Saccharomyces cerevisiae S288C: one gene and its partners. The protein of the gene in region 1 interacts with the protein of each later gene in a biochemical or structural test. Each region holds a gene or a part of one and is shown in the gene's direction. Other genes may lie near its edges.

The links.
Region 2: of the proteins of SLT2 (region 1) and MSG5, one has a biochemical effect on the other in vitro, tested with the Saccharomyces cerevisiae proteins (6 studies listed by BioGRID, with this or other methods).
Region 3: of the proteins of SLT2 (region 1) and SDP1, one has a biochemical effect on the other in vitro, tested with the Saccharomyces cerevisiae proteins (3 studies listed by BioGRID, with this or other methods).

The regions. Positions count from the first base shown.
Region 1 is NC_001140.6:167,666-172,227, reverse strand, and holds SLT2 (mitogen-activated serine/threonine-protein kinase SLT2), read left to right. Parts: upstream 1-1,883; coding exon 1,884-3,338; downstream 3,339-4,562. Other genes in the region: RRM3 (DNA helicase), read left to right, coding at 1-1,429; YHI9 (Yhi9p), read left to right, coding at 3,667-4,551. UniProt on the Saccharomyces cerevisiae protein: Serine/threonine protein kinase involved in a signal transduction pathway that plays a role in yeast cell morphogenesis and cell growth.
Region 2 is NC_001146.8:527,956-531,911, forward strand, and holds MSG5 (tyrosine/serine/threonine protein phosphatase MSG5), read left to right. Parts: upstream 1-1,986; coding exon 1,987-3,456; downstream 3,457-3,956. Other genes in the region: VAC7 (Vac7p), read left to right, coding at 1-1,628; COX5A (cytochrome c oxidase subunit Va), read left to right, coding at 3,770-3,956. UniProt on the Saccharomyces cerevisiae protein: Dual specificity phosphatase that dephosphorylates MAP kinase FUS3 on both a Tyr and a Ser or Thr. Has a role in adaptation to pheromone.
Region 3 is NC_001141.2:148,797-151,688, forward strand, and holds SDP1 (mitogen-activated protein kinase tyrosine protein phosphatase SDP1), read left to right. Parts: upstream 1-1,762; coding exon 1,763-2,392; downstream 2,393-2,892. Other genes in the region: putative porin POR2, read right to left, coding at 347-1,192; HOS4 (Hos4p), read left to right, coding at 2,799-2,892. UniProt on the Saccharomyces cerevisiae protein: Mediates dephosphorylation of MAPK substrates such as SLT2, acquiring enhanced catalytic activity under oxidative conditions.

The DNA.
Region 1 (4,562 bases):
AAATGTCTTTTACACCGGTAGTGCGGGTACAGGTAAGTCGGTCATTTTGCAAACGATCATAAGACAATTGAGCTCTTTGTATGGGAAAGAATCAATTGCAATTACCGCCTCAACTGGGCTAGCGGCAGTGACTATTGGTGGTTCCACATTGCATAAGTGGTCTGGTATAGGAATCGGGAACAAAACTATCGACCAATTGGTGAAAAAAATACAATCACAAAAGGACTTATTGGCCGCATGGAGGTATACAAAAGTTTTGATAATTGATGAAATTTCTATGGTCGATGGTAATCTGTTGGATAAATTAGAGCAAATCGCAAGGAGAATTCGGAAGAACGACGATCCCTTTGGTGGTATTCAATTGGTCCTGACAGGCGATTTTTTTCAACTACCACCAGTTGCTAAGAAGGACGAGCATAACGTTGTGAAATTTTGTTTTGAAAGTGAAATGTGGAAACGGTGCATTCAAAAAACGATTTTACTGACAAAGGTTTTCAGACAACAGGATAACAAACTAATTGATATTCTAAATGCCATAAGATACGGAGAGCTGACTGTCGACATTGCTAAAACAATAAGGAACCTAAATAGGGATATAGACTATGCCGATGGAATTGCTCCTACAGAACTGTATGCCACAAGAAGAGAAGTTGAACTATCCAACGTAAAGAAATTACAGTCTCTACCTGGTGATTTATATGAGTTTAAAGCTGTAGATAACGCGCCCGAGAGATACCAAGCGATACTAGATTCTTCATTAATGGTGGAAAAAGTTGTCGCATTGAAGGAAGATGCACAGGTAATGATGTTGAAAAATAAGCCTGATGTAGAATTAGTTAATGGATCATTGGGAAAAGTTTTGTTTTTTGTTACAGAATCGCTGGTGGTGAAAATGAAGGAAATTTACAAGATTGTGGATGACGAAGTTGTCATGGACATGAGATTAGTGAGTCGGGTCATTGGTAATCCCTTGTTAAAGGAATCAAAGGAGTTTCGTCAAGATTTGAATGCCAGGCCATTAGCTAGATTGGAACGTTTGAAAATCTTGATAAACTATGCAGTTAAGATCTCTCCGCATAAGGAAAAATTCCCCTATGTGAGGTGGACAGTGGGTAAAAACAAGTACATACATGAGCTCATGGTCCCAGAGCGCTTTCCCATTGATATTCCCAGAGAAAATGTCGGGTTAGAAAGAACTCAGATTCCATTAATGCTATGCTGGGCACTGTCCATTCATAAGGCACAGGGTCAAACTATTCAAAGACTAAAGGTCGACTTGAGGAGAATTTTCGAAGCCGGCCAAGTTTATGTTGCACTGTCAAGAGCGGTAACTATGGACACCTTACAGGTCCTAAACTTTGATCCAGGAAAGATTCGCACCAATGAAAGAGTAAAAGATTTCTATAAACGTTTAGAAACTTTGAAATGACTTGCAACGAATAAATGCATATACTCTAGTTGAAGTTTTCTTTTCTTGTTCTATACAGGTTCGAATACTTGTGAGCCTATCTGTATAATTTAACAGAATCCCGAAATATTCATCTAGAAGCCATCTATTTAGCTAAGCCTACGTATGCGGCGATTTTTATATTATCTTTTTTTTTTTTTATAGAAGACTGCGAAATGTTGGCAGAATGGAAAGTTTCAGTGTTAAAAATAGAAACTGAAAAAGGAGATCTAGCCAGGAATATATCGAAAAAAAAAGTGAGGGAAATCAGATCCTACACAAATATTTAGATTTAATTGAAGACCCTGGTCTGCCAGATATATATATATATTAGACGAACTGTGCATTCAGTCAGCAAATCTAGGCCACAGATTTTCTTATTGAAGCTATCAAAATAGTAGAAATAATTGAAGGGCGTGTATAACAATTCTGGGAGATGGCTGATAAGATAGAGAGGCATACTTTCAAGGTCTTCAATCAAGATTTCAGTGTAGATAAGAGGTTTCAACTTATCAAAGAAATAGGGCATGGAGCATACGGCATAGTGTGTTCAGCGCGGTTTGCAGAAGCTGCCGAAGATACCACAGTTGCCATCAAGAAAGTGACAAACGTTTTTTCGAAGACCTTACTATGTAAAAGATCCCTACGTGAGCTAAAGCTTTTGAGACATTTCAGAGGCCACAAAAATATTACATGTCTTTATGATATGGATATTGTTTTTTATCCAGACGGGTCTATCAATGGACTATATCTTTATGAGGAACTTATGGAATGTGATATGCACCAAATCATCAAATCCGGTCAACCTTTGACGGATGCTCACTATCAAAGTTTCACATACCAAATATTATGTGGTTTAAAGTATATTCATTCTGCAGATGTCTTGCATCGTGATTTGAAGCCCGGCAATTTGCTTGTCAATGCAGATTGTCAATTGAAAATCTGTGATTTTGGGTTAGCTAGAGGTTATTCGGAGAATCCTGTCGAAAACAGTCAATTTTTGACGGAGTACGTGGCCACTAGATGGTATAGAGCTCCGGAAATAATGTTGAGTTACCAAGGATATACCAAGGCGATTGACGTATGGTCAGCTGGCTGTATTTTAGCGGAGTTTCTTGGTGGAAAGCCAATCTTCAAAGGAAAGGATTACGTTAATCAATTGAATCAAATATTACAAGTTTTAGGGACACCCCCAGACGAAACTTTAAGAAGGATTGGTTCTAAAAATGTTCAGGACTACATACATCAATTAGGTTTCATTCCAAAAGTACCTTTTGTCAATTTATACCCAAATGCCAATTCACAAGCATTAGACTTATTGGAGCAAATGCTCGCGTTTGACCCTCAAAAGAGAATTACCGTGGATGAGGCCCTGGAGCATCCTTACTTGTCTATATGGCATGATCCAGCTGACGAACCTGTGTGTAGTGAAAAATTCGAATTTAGTTTTGAATCGGTTAATGATATGGAGGACTTAAAACAAATGGTTATACAAGAAGTGCAAGATTTCAGGCTGTTTGTGAGACAACCGCTATTAGAAGAGCAAAGGCAATTACAATTACAGCAGCAGCAACAGCAGCAGCAACAGCAACAGCAACAGCAACAGCAGCCTTCAGATGTGGATAATGGCAACGCCGCAGCGAGTGAAGAAAATTATCCAAAACAGATGGCCACGTCTAATTCTGTTGCGCCACAACAAGAATCATTTGGTATTCACTCCCAAAATTTGCCAAGGCATGATGCAGATTTCCCACCTCGACCTCAAGAGAGTATGATGGAGATGAGACCTGCCACTGGAAATACCGCAGATATTCCGCCTCAGAATGATAACGGCACGCTTCTAGACCTTGAAAAAGAGCTGGAGTTTGGATTAGATAGAAAATATTTTTAGGACAAAAAACTATAAGTAACCGGGGAAGTATAGAATCACCATAGATGTAAGCTTACAGACAATGTGTATATATGATGTATATGAACGTATACAAATATATATATATATACGTGCTCTTGTTGTAGCTCGTATATCAAATTCCTCCTCCGACGCTTATCTTAATCGTACTCCGCGGAAGTTTGTTATCGCCTCTTGAATTCTTTCTTTTCGTTCATTTATGATTAGTCATCTATAGACAATATTCATTATTTAAGCACCTAGAATACTAAACTAAATGTCTAAATATGACACAAGGAAGATAAGATAAAAAAAACCAAGCGCTTAGAATATGACTTTAATGGTACCTTTCAAACAAGTTGATGTATTCACTGAGAAGCCCTTTATGGGAAATCCAGTAGCAGTAATAAACTTCTTGGAAATTGATGAAAATGAAGTCAGTCAAGAAGAATTGCAGGCAATTGCCAACTGGACAAACTTATCAGAAACAACGTTTTTATTTAAACCATCTGATAAAAAGTATGATTACAAGTTGAGGATCTTTACTCCAAGAAGTGAATTGCCATTTGCTGGTCACCCAACCATTGGTTCATGTAAGGCTTTCCTTGAGTTCACCAAAAACACCACTGCGACTTCTCTCGTCCAGGAATGTAAAATAGGCGCTGTTCCAATAACAATTAATGAGGGACTAATTAGCTTCAAAGCTCCGATGGCTGATTACGAAAGTATATCGAGTGAGATGATTGCTGATTATGAAAAAGCGATTGGTTTGAAATTCATAAAGCCTCCTGCTCTTTTACATACTGGGCCAGAGTGGATCGTGGCGCTAGTAGAAGATGCAGAAACTTGCTTCAATGCAAACCCAAATTTTGCTATGCTTGCACACCAGACAAAACAGAATGACCATGTGGGAATTATCCTAGCGGGCCCTAAAAAGGAAGCCGCCATCAAAAACTCCTACGAAATGAGGGCGTTTGCTCCGGTGATAAACGTTTATGAAGATCCTGTTTGTGGTAGTGGTTCTGTAGCCCTTGCAAGATATTTGCAAGAAGTTTATAAGTTTGAGAAAACCACGGATATTACCATTTCTGAGGGTGGAAGGTTAAAAAGAAATGGCCTAATGTTAGCTTCAATTAAGAAAGAAGCTGATAATAGCACTTCCTACTATATAGCAGGTCATGCCACTACCGTTATTGATGGTAAGATCAAAGTTTAGGATTCTAAACG
Region 2 (3,956 bases), on another chromosome or scaffold:
CCAATGTTGCCACAAATTCGCAGGAATTGGAACCAAACAATGATATTTCAACGAAGAAATCTCTTTCCAATTCTACTTTGAGACATTCCTCTGCTAATAGAAATTCTAATTATGGTGACAACAAAAGGCCTCTTAGAACAACAGTGTCAAAGATATTTGATTCAAACCCTAATGGAGCTCCTTTACGGAGATACTCTGGGGTACCGGATCACGTTAATCTAGAAGATTACATCGAACAGCCGCATAATTATCCAACAATGCAAAATAGTGTGAAAAAGGATGAATTTTATAACAGCAGGAACAATAAGTTTCCCCATGGTTTAAACTTTTATGGTGATAACAATGTTATTGAAGAGGAAAATAATGGTGACTCGTCTAATGTAAATCGACCGCAACACACTAACCTTCAGCATGAGTTTATTCCAGAAGATAACGAAAGTGATGAAAACGATATTCACTCCATGTTTTATTATAATCATAAGAACGATTTAGAAACAAAACCGCTAATATCCGATTATGGTGAAGATGAAGACGTAGATGATTATGATCGCCCAAATGCTACTTTCAACAGTTACTATGGCTCAGCATCCAACACGCACGAACTTCCATTACATGGAAGGATGCCTTCAAGATCAAATAATGATTACTACGATTTTATGGTTGGCAACAATACTGGCAATAACAACCAATTGAATGAATATACCCCCTTAAGAATGAAACGTGGTCAAAGACACCTATCAAGAACAAACAATAGCATAATGAATGGTAGCATCCATATGAATGGTAACGATGACGTTACCCATTCCAATATCAATAATAACGATATTGTTGGTTACTCACCGCACAACTTTTACTCAAGGAAGTCCCCATTTGTGAAAGTAAAGAATTTTCTTTATCTTGCATTTGTTATATCATCACTATTGATGACAGGATTCATTCTGGGATTTTTATTGGCCACTAATAAAGAACTACAAGATGTAGACGTGGTAGTGATGGATAATGTGATTTCAAGTTCGGACGAGTTGATCTTCGACATCACAGTAAGTGCTTTTAATCCAGGATTCTTCAGTATAAGCGTTTCCCAAGTCGATTTGGACATTTTTGCAAAAAGTTCTTACCTGAAGTGCGATTCTAATGGTGACTGTACAGTAATGGAACAGGAACGGAAAATTTTACAAATAACGACAAATCTTTCGTTAGTTGAAGAGAGTGCTAATAATGATATTAGTGGTGGGAACATAGAGACGGTATTACTAGGAACCGCTAAAAAACTAGAGACACCATTAAAGTTCCAGGGCGGCGCATTTAATAGGAACTACGATGTGTCAGTCTCGAGTGTCAAGCTTTTAAGTCCTGGGTCTCGTGAAGCCAAGCACGAAAACGACGATGATGACGATGATGATGGCGACGATGGTGACGATGAAAACAATACTAATGAAAGACAATACAAAAGCAAACCAAATGCTAGAGATGACAAAGAAGATGATACTAAAAAATGGAAGCTACTAATCAAGCATGATTACGAATTGATAGTCCGTGGAAGCATGAAGTATGAGGTGCCCTTTTTCAATACGCAAAAATCTACGGCTATTCAAAAGGATTCCATGGTCCATCCTGGTAAGAAGTGAGTGTTAAGAATGTAGCTTTTTCGTCAAAGCTGGGTATTTTTCTTTTTATAGCGCAGGAGCGGAAGGCAATTTCCAAAACAGGAATGTACTTTCCAAAAAAGGAAAATGTAGTTTGTTTTTTGATGTTTTTTTCTCTTTGACTATTTCAAATTTAGAAGTGAAAAAATACAAAAATGTTACATAGGATTCGATACAGTGTAATATATCATTATTATTACTTTTAAATAAAGCGTTTAGTAAACAAGAGTGAGGGTTATGCAACTCGTTTAGTAAACATTCTTTTTTTTTTCTTCATTTAAGTATAAGACAACAATAGTAGCGGAAGCGATAGTAATACATTTGGTAGCGATAAGTGCACATGCAATTTCACTCAGATAAGCAGCATTTGGACAGTAAAACCGACATCGATTTCAAGCCAAACTCACCGCGTTCCTTACAAAATAGGAATACCAAAAATTTATCTTTAGATATAGCAGCACTCCATCCATTAATGGAATTCTCATCGCCAAGCCAAGATGTGCCAGGTTCAGTAAAATTCCCATCGCCGACACCTTTGAATCTATTTATGAAGCCCAAACCTATTGTGTTGGAGAAATGTCCACCAAAAGTAAGTCCAAGGCCAACGCCACCATCGCTGTCGATGAGGCGAAGCGAGGCCTCTATATACACACTACCAACATCTTTGAAGAACCGAACTGTTTCTCCAAGCGTGTATACAAAATCATCCACAGTATCGTCTATCAGTAAGCTGTCATCATCATCACCGTTATCGTCATTTTCAGAAAAACCTCATCTGAATAGAGTCCATTCATTATCCGTGAAAACTAAAGACTTGAAGTTGAAGGGAATTAGAGGACGTTCTCAAACGATCTCAGGGTTAGAGACATCCACGCCAATTTCTAGTACTCGTGAAGGTACTTTAGATAGTACGGATGTCAACAGATTTTCTAACCAAAAGAATATGCAAACAACATTGATTTTCCCGGAGGAGGACTCGGATCTGAATATTGATATGGTGCATGCAGAGATTTATCAACGAACGGTTTATTTAGATGGACCATTGCTGGTACTGCCGCCTAATTTGTATCTATATTCAGAACCCAAACTAGAAGATATATTATCGTTTGATTTAGTCATTAATGTTGCCAAAGAAATACCGAACCTGGAGTTTTTAATACCGCCGGAAATGGCACATAAAATAAAATATTACCATATTGAATGGACACACACATCCAAGATCGTCAAGGACTTATCCCGATTGACACGCATTATACATACCGCTCATTCGCAAGGCAAGAAAATACTCGTACACTGTCAGTGTGGAGTATCAAGATCGGCGTCATTGATTGTGGCGTATATCATGCGATATTATGGCTTGAGTTTAAATGATGCATACAATAAGCTGAAAGGTGTTGCTAAGGATATAAGTCCAAACATGGGTCTCATCTTCCAACTTATGGAATGGGGAACCATGTTGTCCAAGAACTCACCGGGCGAAGAAGGAGAGACTGTTCACATGCCTGAGGAAGATGACATCGGAAACAACGAAGTTTCCTCGACTACGAAGTCCTACTCTTCTGCGTCCTTTAGAAGTTTTCCCATGGTAACGAATCTATCATCGTCGCCGAATGACAGTTCTGTCAATTCTTCGGAAGTAACGCCAAGAACTCCTGCTACGTTGACTGGAGCAAGGACCGCACTGGCCACAGAACGCGGGGAAGATGATGAGCACTGTAAAAGTTTGTCTCAACCCGCAGATTCACTGGAAGCTTCTGTGGACAACGAATCAATATCTACTGCCCCGGAACAGATGATGTTTCTTCCTTAAGGGACAGCATCTCCCAAAAGAATCTTTATGACTATCAGATCTGCAGGCAGACCGCCTCCCTACGCTTCTAAATAGAATGTACTTAGCACTTCTGCCTACATAGTAATTATTCATCATTGTAAGTGTCACATTGCAAAAATCGTCCAATAGACGTTTTCCTCGTTTGTGATTGGCCCTACGTTTTGCGCCGATACAAGCGGCGGCGAAAAGTTAAAAAGAACAATCAATTAAATAAGAACCATCAGTCCTCGTATTTTGTCTTCTGTTTGCAAGCAATGCACCAAACACAAGATCAACTAAGAACGCATCTACAATGTTACGTAACACTTTTACTAGAGCTGGTGGACTATCACGTATTACATCCGTAAGATTCGCTCAAACACATGCTCTTTCCAACGCTGCTGTAATGGATCTGCAATCCAGATGGGAGAACATGCCCTCCACTGAGCAGCAGGATATTGTCAGTAAGTTGAGTGAACGTCAAAAATTACCATGGGCAC
Region 3 (2,892 bases), on another chromosome or scaffold:
ATCGTTATTGAAGTTGGAGAGGAGACAAATTAACCTGAGAAATATGAATTGGTGTGAAGCAGCGTATGTGTGACAGAACAAACAAGCCTAAACGCCGATGTCAAACACAATTTTTTCTCCAGTTTATGCGTGCAACTATCCTTCGGTCCTTTGTCTTTTTTTCTCTTTTGATCAAACAATTGAAAAAACACTGGTCGTAGGTCACGATAAAAGTTGCGATGTCCCCTCCCACCTAGTTTCCTAAATACTATTATATAATATTAACTAAACAAACGTCAGAAAAAAAAAAAACTCTATCAAAAGTACAAATCCTTATTTAGTAAAATTTATAAGAAAATAAAATCTCTCAGGGCGAGAACGATAGAGACCAGCCAAATTTGTGGACTGGTTCAGTCAGTTGTAGCGCATTGAAAGACATACCCACACCCAAAGAAATATCTTTATTCAAATTTCGCTTGTACGACAATGTAGTCAGGCCTGAATCTGCAATTTTTGCCTTAACTTGCGAAATAGAATCTGGTACGTATCTGGTAACAAATTCAATGTTCATATTAGAACTTGTCTTCGATTGTAAAGTGGCTTTAGTTCCCACTTGCAAATAGCGGTTAACGTTTTGAAAAAATGAAGCAGTTGCGCATTGCCTGTTGTTAGTAGACAAAATAAACGAATATTCTCTGGCAAGATACCCGATTGACATAGCATAGCGTGCACATAAACCCGCAGCTGTGTCATATGCGATGTCAGTGCCGCCAACAAACCCGCGGTGGCCCAAAGTAACACTTCCGACAAAGTCCTTAGGTTGCAAGATGTCTATAGAAGTTCTTGCTGCAAACGATTTTTGGGCGTAGCTCAAATTAAATTTGGCGTTCTTGATGGATTGGGGAGTCAAAAATGCGTTGACATCACCTTTCCAACCAGGTGCTATCTTGGAAAATTCGATTCTTGTATTTAACCTGTTCTGGTTCGACCAACTCTGAGATAGCGACACTCCCTCCTTCCTGTCATAAAACCGTCCTTCTACGCTAGTTTGGATGGGGCCTTCTGTCACGCCCTGCTTCGCCTTCAGAGTAAAATTCACACCATTTTCCGTGGTTGTTGAAATATTCAAAGAGAGGGGGTTGGTGTGAAAAAAGTCCCTATTGAATAGGCCATTGACATCTCTAGATATATCGTTGAAAAATCGTAGTGCCATCGTAGGTAATTTCTAACACTTTCCTCTTCATGCAATTCCTTCACTCGAGAATAAAACAGAAGAGCTCCATCTTCACTATTCTTTCTTTTCTTTTTGTTCCATTTCTGCAATTGGAAGCGAGAAAAAAGGAAAGGAATTGCTAAAGGCGCTTTCAATCATGTAAGACAAATTAGTATTTGGTTAAAAAATGCAGAAGCTCAGTCGCAGCATAGAAAAAGAACTAAACTTTTAAATGCTGAAAACTACGAACAGATTTTGCAGTGTGTCATTTCTGCGGAATCCGTTATTCGTCTCATTTGCTAGGCAGGGCGCACACTATTGGAATAGGAGATATCTTCCAGATAGAAAAGGGTTTTTGCGTCGTACGGCGCGGCCTTGGCAACTCCCCTTCTGGAACAGGCAACTTCCTAATTAGGTTGCCGCAGCGAATAACTTTAATCAGTTCTTATCCCCTTTATGGTATACTGGGTGATATAAAAGAACGAGTAAGACAAGATCAGCAACAAAGTTGAAGATAATCTATTATCTAAAATAACACATACGGCTGCGCACTTGTAGCCATAATCTCGCATGAACATATACACATCACCCACGCGAACACCGAACATCGCACCAAAGAGTGGCCAAAGACCATCTCTTCCTATGCTGGCCACAGATGAGAGGTCTACGGACAAAGAAAGCCCGAATGAAGACCGTGAATTCGTGCCTTGTTCGAGTTTGGACGTGCGCAGAATCTACCCAAAAGGCCCATTACTTGTTCTCCCGGAAAAGATCTACCTTTATTCAGAGCCCACGGTAAAAGAGCTTTTACCCTTTGATGTGGTCATCAACGTTGCTGAAGAGGCAAACGATTTACGAATGCAGGTTCCTGCTGTCGAGTACCATCACTACCGATGGGAACATGATTCGCAGATTGCGTTGGACTTGCCATCATTGACTAGCATCATACACGCAGCTACGACTAAGCGAGAGAAGATACTGATACATTGCCAATGTGGGCTGTCGAGATCCGCAACGCTGATTATTGCATATATAATGAAATATCATAACTTGAGTCTGAGGCACTCATATGATCTGTTGAAATCAAGGGCAGACAAGATAAACCCTTCCATAGGGCTTATTTTCCAGTTGATGGAATGGGAGGTTGCTCTTAACGCGAAGACTAACGTGCAAGCCAACAGTTATAGAAAAGTACCGTGAGAGAGAAAAAAAAAAAAGATATAGCATTCAATGAGGCTTTATTGAGGGGCACGATGCTCTTTTTTTCTTCTGTACTTTATAAATAATTCCGTATTTCTTCGCTTTGTTTCATGCTCTGTTCTGAGCTTTTAGTTTCTCTTATTGAGAGCCTTTTCCAAATCAAGGCTCAGGAAGTGACTCGTCCTTAGAAGAACAAGGTTTGGATTTGGTAGGGTTCTTGTACGAAGTTCTCAATATAATTTGCGCATTTACTGTACGGTTCATACTAGTTTATTCCGGGTAACAAGTTTTCTTGTGATGCTAAATCAATGTGTATATTGAGAAAACTATGTAGTAAGTTACACAAAGCAACAAAGGATATTATTATATGTGACAGAGAAGAATTGCTGTAGAGATTCATGACAATATGAATGAGACTACTACAAAACAGCCGCTAAAGAAAAGGTCCCTGAGCAGCTATCTTTCAAACGTGAGCACGAGACGGGAGGAGCTGGAAAAGA